Linked DNA regions of Canis lupus familiaris. Each later gene encodes a partner of the first gene's protein in a complex. Links are inferred from orthologs where the notes say so. Each region holds a gene or a part of one and is shown in the gene's direction. Other genes may lie near its edges.

The links. The genes of interacting proteins can lie anywhere in the genome.
Region 2: TCTN1 (region 1) and B9D2 share a complex: the UniProt entries of both Homo sapiens proteins name them as parts of the tectonic-like complex. The link is inferred for Canis lupus familiaris from reciprocal best matches to the Homo sapiens genes TCTN1 and B9D2.

What each region holds. Positions count from the first base shown.
Region 1 is NC_049247.1:8,665,564-8,669,157, forward strand, and holds part of TCTN1 (tectonic-1), read left to right. Parts: intron 1-1,208; coding exon 1,209-1,334; intron 1,335-1,801; coding exon 1,802-1,945; 3' UTR 1,946-1,946; intron 1,947-2,760; exon of another isoform or gene 2,761-3,157; coding exon of another isoform or gene 3,158-3,223; intron 3,224-3,575; coding exon of another isoform or gene 3,576-3,594. UniProt on the Homo sapiens protein: Component of the tectonic-like complex, a complex localized at the transition zone of primary cilia and acting as a barrier that prevents diffusion of transmembrane proteins between the cilia and plasma membranes.
Region 2 is NC_049222.1:113,410,088-113,413,428, forward strand, and holds the end of B9D2 (B9 domain-containing protein 2), read left to right. Parts: intron 1-91; coding exon 92-217; intron 218-2,278; coding exon 2,279-2,592; 3' UTR 2,593-2,822; downstream 2,823-3,341. UniProt on the Homo sapiens protein: Component of the tectonic-like complex, a complex localized at the transition zone of primary cilia and acting as a barrier that prevents diffusion of transmembrane proteins between the cilia and plasma membranes.

The sequences.
Region 1 (3,594 bases):
GGACCCATGATTACTCAGTAGTCCCTGCTGTTCTGCTGCTCTTGTCTCTACTCTGCCCCCTCGGAACCAGCCACATCGTTTCTGGCTTCTCAGAAACAGGTTAAGACATTGTTACTAGCCCCTAAGAAGGGAAAACCGCCTGGGAGGCAGTGCAGACATTAGCATTTTCAGGGTCTGTGCTGCTGCAGGGAGCTCAGAGGGCCCAGAGAGGGTTTGGTACCTACCTTGCAGGAAACTCAGGTGGCAGCAGACACAAGTGCACGTGCTAGGCTCGCTTCTACCACTGCGTGTTGCCTCTTCTAATAACAGATACTCACAAGGCTTTTTCAGCCTGCAAACTTCCTAAAAGGCAGTTCCCAGCTAAGGAGTTCCACCAGTGCCTTTTTGGCAGGCACCAAATTTAGCAGGCTTGCTAGCTTTTCATGCCCCGAAGAAGCATATTAAACAAACAAACAAACAAACTTGTTATTGTCAGAAAATTTCAAACATAACACAAAAGTAAAGGATTACAATGGAATCCCTTCTACCCATCATGCAGCTTCAGTGGTTGTCACATTTGCCAACAAACATGATGTAAAGGCAGGGAAAGGGTTAGAAGGCCCACTCGCCTGCTCTTCCATGGGGCAGAGACCTCAGGCTGGCTCCCAGGTCTCCAGCCTGCAGGCAGGCAGCACCCATGGAGAGTTAGCATCTTTGACAATTTACCCTCGGCTGATACCCCTGTGTAACATCTTAATTGCCAACTGATGAAATTAAATGAAAAGAAAATATTTACATTTCCTCTAGGTGCATCTTAACGTGATACACAATTAGGTTTAATTTCTATGACTACCACCATCCTCTCCTCCCCACTCAATGCCAGCTTCTCCCCTCAAGAATCTCTGAGTTGGATGAAGCTGGGCAGTTAAGGCCCAAGGTTCTGCGGTTTGTTGTTGGGATCTCCACAACTTCCAAGTAATCTTGACCTTTCTAGAAACAGGAGAGGATGGAAAAATGCTTTAAGTGTTAAAATATTTTTGGGAATATTGAGTACTTTAAAATATGTGCTCTCAGCTGTTTTTATCTGAACTTCTAGAGTCTCTTCACTCTCTTGTTCAGAACATTTTGTAATATGTGAAACACTTTATAATTAAAGCTCTGAAGTGCAGATTAAGTTTGACATGAAATTGTGTAATGTTCAAATTGATTAATGACATTCTGTTTTGCAGGATTCTTGCCAGCTCCCAGTGGCTTTGTTTATAGAAGTGAAGTGGACCAAATACGGGTCCTTACTGAACCCACAGGCTAAAATTGTAAACGTAACTGCAAGTCTCATTTCATCCCCCTTTCCTGAGGTAGGTCTAACTGGGGTTTCGAGGTGTGGGTTAAGACAGAAGTCCAGACAAAACTCAAGCGTGATAGTGAAATTTATTTTGTGAAAAAGATTACTGAAATTTATTTTTTTTTATTTTTTATTTTTTTAGATTACTGAAATTTAAACAATCTGAATTCTTAAAATAATCTGGCACTTTCTTAGGGAAAAAAAAATTCCACTGACAACAGTTGAATTCACAGTAGCATTTTTGTTTGGAGCTGATCTTTAAAATTCTTTGAAAATGGAGTTGTGGTTGACATTGGTGGGTAGGACAGCCTGGGTAAAAACCCTCTCATCCAAGTGAGCGTATGAGGAGCCCTGCATGCGCCTAGGAGATGGGCTGACCGTGGCCCCAGGAGGGAAGGGAGCACAGGGTATGCCACCTTGTGACCCTGTGCACATGAGCACACACTGGAAGCAGGACTCACAACACTCTCTTTATTACAGACCGACTCAGGAAATGAGAGGACGGTTCTTATTTCCACTGCGGTTACTTTTGTGGATGCGTCTGCACCTGCGAAGGCAGGCTTCAGAGCTCGGCCAACCATCAATGCCAGGCTGCCGTTTAATTTCTTCTTTCCGTTTGTTTGACGTAAGTTGTTAATCAAGGAGACAGCACCGCACCTCCAGAATCGAGGGGCCTCGGCTCCCTTGGAGCCATCCTGAGATTCTACCACAGATCTGCAGGGTTGCCCTCAGACCACACACTTCCCCTCTCCATTCACTCTCCTCCTTTTGGAAATTTTATTCTACTTGGTTGACCTTAGAATGTGGCGCCACCTGGTCTTGGTGATTTCCAGTACTGTTAGCACATAGGTCATGTGCGGAAACCAAATTGAGCCTTTGGGAGGATGGGGAAGAGGACAGACCCTGAAGTAGCATAGGTGTTGAGGCTTTATCCAGTTTATCCGCCTCAACATGAGTTATTTTTAAACTACTTGTTGTAGTTCATGTCCCGTGGAGATAAATACAAAAATAGCAAAATACTGCATATAAACTCATGTGAGTAGAGTACACGGTCTCGTGAAAGGATCTCCCCCCAGTGTCGTCTTCATTACATGGAGTCTTGGGTCTAATTGCTGTTTCTGTGGCAGGCACTGGAGCTCTCCATCTGATGGGCTGTATGGGATGCCACAGAGCAGTTCCAAGCCTTTGATGCTGGAAAGAATAGAGTAGGAGGGCTCGAGGGAAAAAGTTTCTTTTATACGTTAATTGTACAGTAATTGAGAAAATGTTGTCAGGTGGCAGAACAGGGTAGAGCCAGTTAGAAAGCTGGTTGCTGCAGAGAGGGGGCTGGGTACCTGTGAACAACCTCCTGGGGGAATGTTAAAACAGTTTGAAAAGATAAGACTTTTCTAGAATGGGCTGGTAGCCAAGGTAGCTTCCTTTTTTCTTTTGTCTTTCAGAATGCTCACATGAAAAGATGCACTGGTTCCTCATACATGGGAAATGGGAAAGTACATTTGATGAGATTAAATTTTATATACAACTAAAAGTTGTCCAGCTTCGTTGTTCATTTTCAAGCAAGAGTCAGGTGTTCAAAATGAGAAAATATAGTTTGTAATACATTGTGATATGGGGTGAGAATGGGACGGGAAGCTCTTGATCACACCAAGAAAGAGTGAGCCTTCCCTTAGACTCCCCCCACCCCAACCCCCCAGAATCTGAGCTGGGTCGGGGGTGAGGCAAAGGCATCAAACCAGATCTCTCTCCCAGACGGTCCCCAGGAGGGGCAGCTGTCTTTCTTATCAGAGGTGCAAGCCTGTGAGGCAGTCTTGTCTTTGGGACGAAGCAGGTACATGTCTAGTTGACTTCACCAAGAAGTCCATGCTGTCTCAATAGCTTGTTCAGTCTTTCAATTTCTTGTTCCTGTTATTAACAAAGGCAGACAGATAACTCAGTTTTACCTTCTGAACCTTGCCAGGGATGTGGCAATTATTTGATGGGCCCCAAGGATGCAAAGCTGAATGGAGGCTACATTCCTGGTGGAGTCTGCCAGTGGAGCCTGCTACGGTCAGCTGGGGCCCAGTGGGTGACTGCAGTGACAGGATGTCCAGAGGAGGGACACCTGGCATAGCTCTGGGGAAGGAGGTGATGCCTAATCTGAATCTGAAAGGACAAGGAAGACTGAGCGAAGGGTGATATCTGAGCAAAGGCCTGGCGGAGTGAAGCTCTGTGCTGAAGGCAAACAGATGGCATTTTCCCAAAAATGTCTTCTTACCTTCTCAGAGCAGCTGAAT
Region 2 (3,341 bases), on another chromosome or scaffold:
TCCCCACCTCCCCCACTGCCAGGGAGAAACAGGGTCCTCCAGCTGCAGTAGCTTCCCCTTCTTGATGTCTGCTTCCCACCCCTCCCTGCAGGGGCAGCGTGGAAGCTCCTGTCTGGCGTGCGGGAGGGCCAGACACAGGTGGACACCCCCCAAGTAGGGGACATGGCCTACTGGTCCCACCCAATCGACCTGCACTTCGCCACCAAAGGTCTCCAAGGTGGGTCCCCAGCACAAGCCCTGGGCCAGGCTGAGGGGGTGGGGGGATGACTAGTGGTGCCCAAAGCCGCTGGGACTGGGAACCAAGTCCCAGCCCTGTTCCCTAGGCCCTTGGGACCCTTTCCTGGCCAGGCCTGGCCTGGGAGAGGCTGAGCTGGGGCCTGCAGACTGGCGCTAGAGGGTATAGGACTATAGGCCAGAGGCCAGGGCTCTGGGGGCCAGGGGGATGAGGGGGAGGTGGGGACCAGGGAGAGAAGGGAGGTGGCTTTCAAAGAGACAAACAAGAATCTTCAATCAGGAGGAAGCGGGGAGGGGTTGTGAGGGAGAGAGGCAGGGCTGCTAGCCGAGCTGTTCTGCAGCCCTGCAGCCCAGCTCAGCTGCTCACAGGGGGAAACAGTATGCGGGGGAGGAAGGGTATCAGAAAACCTTTCCTCGTGGAAAATTTAGATCACTGGAGAGGAGTGGATTCTAGGAAATAGCCTAGGTAAACATGCCATGTATTTTAACAATATAAATAATATTTACCGAGTGTCTGCCTGGTGCCCAGCCTGTGTTGGGTGATGCCAGGGAAATGTTGGTGATTGAGACAGCCGCCCCCTTCATCCCACAGCCCTGTCCTCGCGCGAATCACCATTCCCTTGGGGGAGACAGAGCTGTCCCCAGACAGGGGTGGCCCAGAGTGGGCCCATCGAGGATGGGAGGATCCTAGAGGGTAGGGGAGTCCAGAGGAGATGCCTGACTGCCAGGGAGTTCCGGGAGAGCTTCCTGGAGGAGGGGAGGTTTGATCAGCTTTGCTGAGAAGGGCCAGGAGGAGCTGGGACTGTGAGGCAGGCAGCTGCCCTTCAGCTCTGCAGACCTCACGTCTTCCAGCGTGGGCATCATTCATCCTTGCCTCCTCTTTCCTCAACAGCCCCCCCTCCTCGTTCTGCCCATCAGAAAATCCCTTTGGCTCTACCTTTGAAATGTATCCTAAATCCCCCCACATCTCTCCCCGGGCACCCTGGTCTGCCTACCCTCACCTCTCACCCATGCTCCCACCCTGCCCCCAGAGTCTGTCCCCTGTGAACACCCAAGTTGGGGCACATTCCTTCTTTATGCAGAACTCTCCACGGTACCCCTCTTAGGGTAAAAGCCAAAGCCTTTTTGTCGATCATAAGGCCCTGCACAATCTGGTCTGTCACCTCCTCTCTCTCCCTCTCCCTCTCAGTTGGCTCCAGCCAGCTGGCCCCACCAGGCAGCTCCCATCTCAGGGCCTTTGCACCAGCTCTTCCCTCTCAGGGGCGTTCTTCCCTGGATGTCCATCCACATGGCCCACTCCCTCTCCTCCTTTAAGCATTTGCTCAAATGTCACCTTCTCCGTGAAGCTTCCCTTGCTCACCCACTTTCTAAAACTGCATCCCCACCCCCACCATACCCAGCTTTATTTTTCTCCAGAGCGGTGATCACCATCTGACATACCCTATAATTTGCTTATTTACTACATTCGTTGTCTAGGATGTCAGGAATTTTTGTCTGCTCTGTTCACCACTGTGTCCCCAGCTTCTAGAATAGGGCCTAGAGCAGAGGGGCACAGGAAGGAGGGTGAAATGGGGCCAGATCTCCAGCCTACCAGGTTGAGGACCTGAATGGTGTTCTAAGGACACCGAGAAACCTATGGAAGTGGGAGAAAGATGCTTCCAGCTGCCAGGTGGAAGGTGCATTGGAGAGCCAAGAAGGGAGGCCCTGGGCTCAGAGAGCACAGGGTGGGCCATGGTGAGGGAGGAGGGGAGGTGTCTGGGACTAGGCCCAAAGTGCTCACCTGGGGACTGCGCTGCCCTGATAGGGGGACACTGAAGAAGAGGCCACAGAAGGGAGGTCAGCTGGTCCAGAGGTTGGACTTTCTATGAGGGCACTGGGGAGCCATGGAAGGGTTTTCAGCAGTGGAAGAACAGAGATTCAGAAAGATCCCTTTGGCTGCCTCATGGATGGGAGTCCAGAGAGAAGGCTGGGGCAGAAACCCAGTGGGGAGGGGGCCGGGGGCCTCCATCGCTCCCGTCCTTCCTCCTTCCCTCCCACCCTGCAGGCTGGCCCCGGCTCCATCTCCAGGTGTGGTCGCAGGACAGCTTTGGCCGCTGCCAGCTGGCGGGCTACGGCTTTTGCCACGTGCCCAGCAGCCCGGGCACCCACCGGCTGGACTGCCCCACGTGGCGGCCCCTGGGCAGCTGGCGGGAGCAGCTGGCTCGGGCCTTCGTGGGTGGCGGCCCTCAGCTGCTGCACGGGGATGCCATCTACAGCGGCGCCGACCGCTACCGGCTGCACACGGCGGCCGGAGGCCTGGTCCACCTGGAGCTGGGGCTGCTGCTGCGCCACTTCGACCGCTACGGGGTGGAGTGCTGACCCTGCCTGCCCGGGAGGGGGCCGGGGGCTCTGGACACTGTCGGGTCTGACCCCAGCCAGTCCGGCAGTGGCTTCTGTCCCCACTAGCACCTCCAGCCCGGTGGCCACCCCCTCAGATCCAGTTTCCTTGTCTGTAAAATGGGGACAGTGAGTGTGCGGGGTGGCGGGGGTCAGGTGAGAAGAGGCTGGTTTGCCCTGCAAATGCTCAATAAAGGAGAGCGGTTCTTACAGGTGTGGGTGCCCTCCTGACTTCCGTCACCGGCCAGGTGCCTTGTGCCCTGTCCTCCCACTGACACCCTCCTTCAGGCCCCCACCTCTGACACACCCACTTCCCCTACCCTCTACCTCAGTCTCTGTCCCCCTCCCCACTCTGGGTTCCCCCACTTAGGACCCTGTCTCCTTGGGGGGGGGGTCTCTCCTCTGTGCCCCTCTCCCCCTGGGACCCCGTCTTCCGGCGGACCCTCTTCCCAGCCTTCCCACTCTCGGATCCCCCGTGCCCGGTGTCCCCAACCTCTGATGGGGCCCGCCCGCCAGGTCCTTCTCTCCGTGACCCCGCGCAGCCCTCGGAGCACACGCCGCCCGCTGGCCCGCTAGGGTTGCGCTCAGCCGCCAGGAGGCAGCACCCCGTTCGCGGGGCGGAGCCGGGGTGCCCGCCCCCTCCCCCCGGGGCTTAAGGGACCCCCCTCGGAGCCCGCCCACGCGAGATGAGGACGGTGGCCCGGCCCCCCCATGTCCTCCCCCTGGGGGCC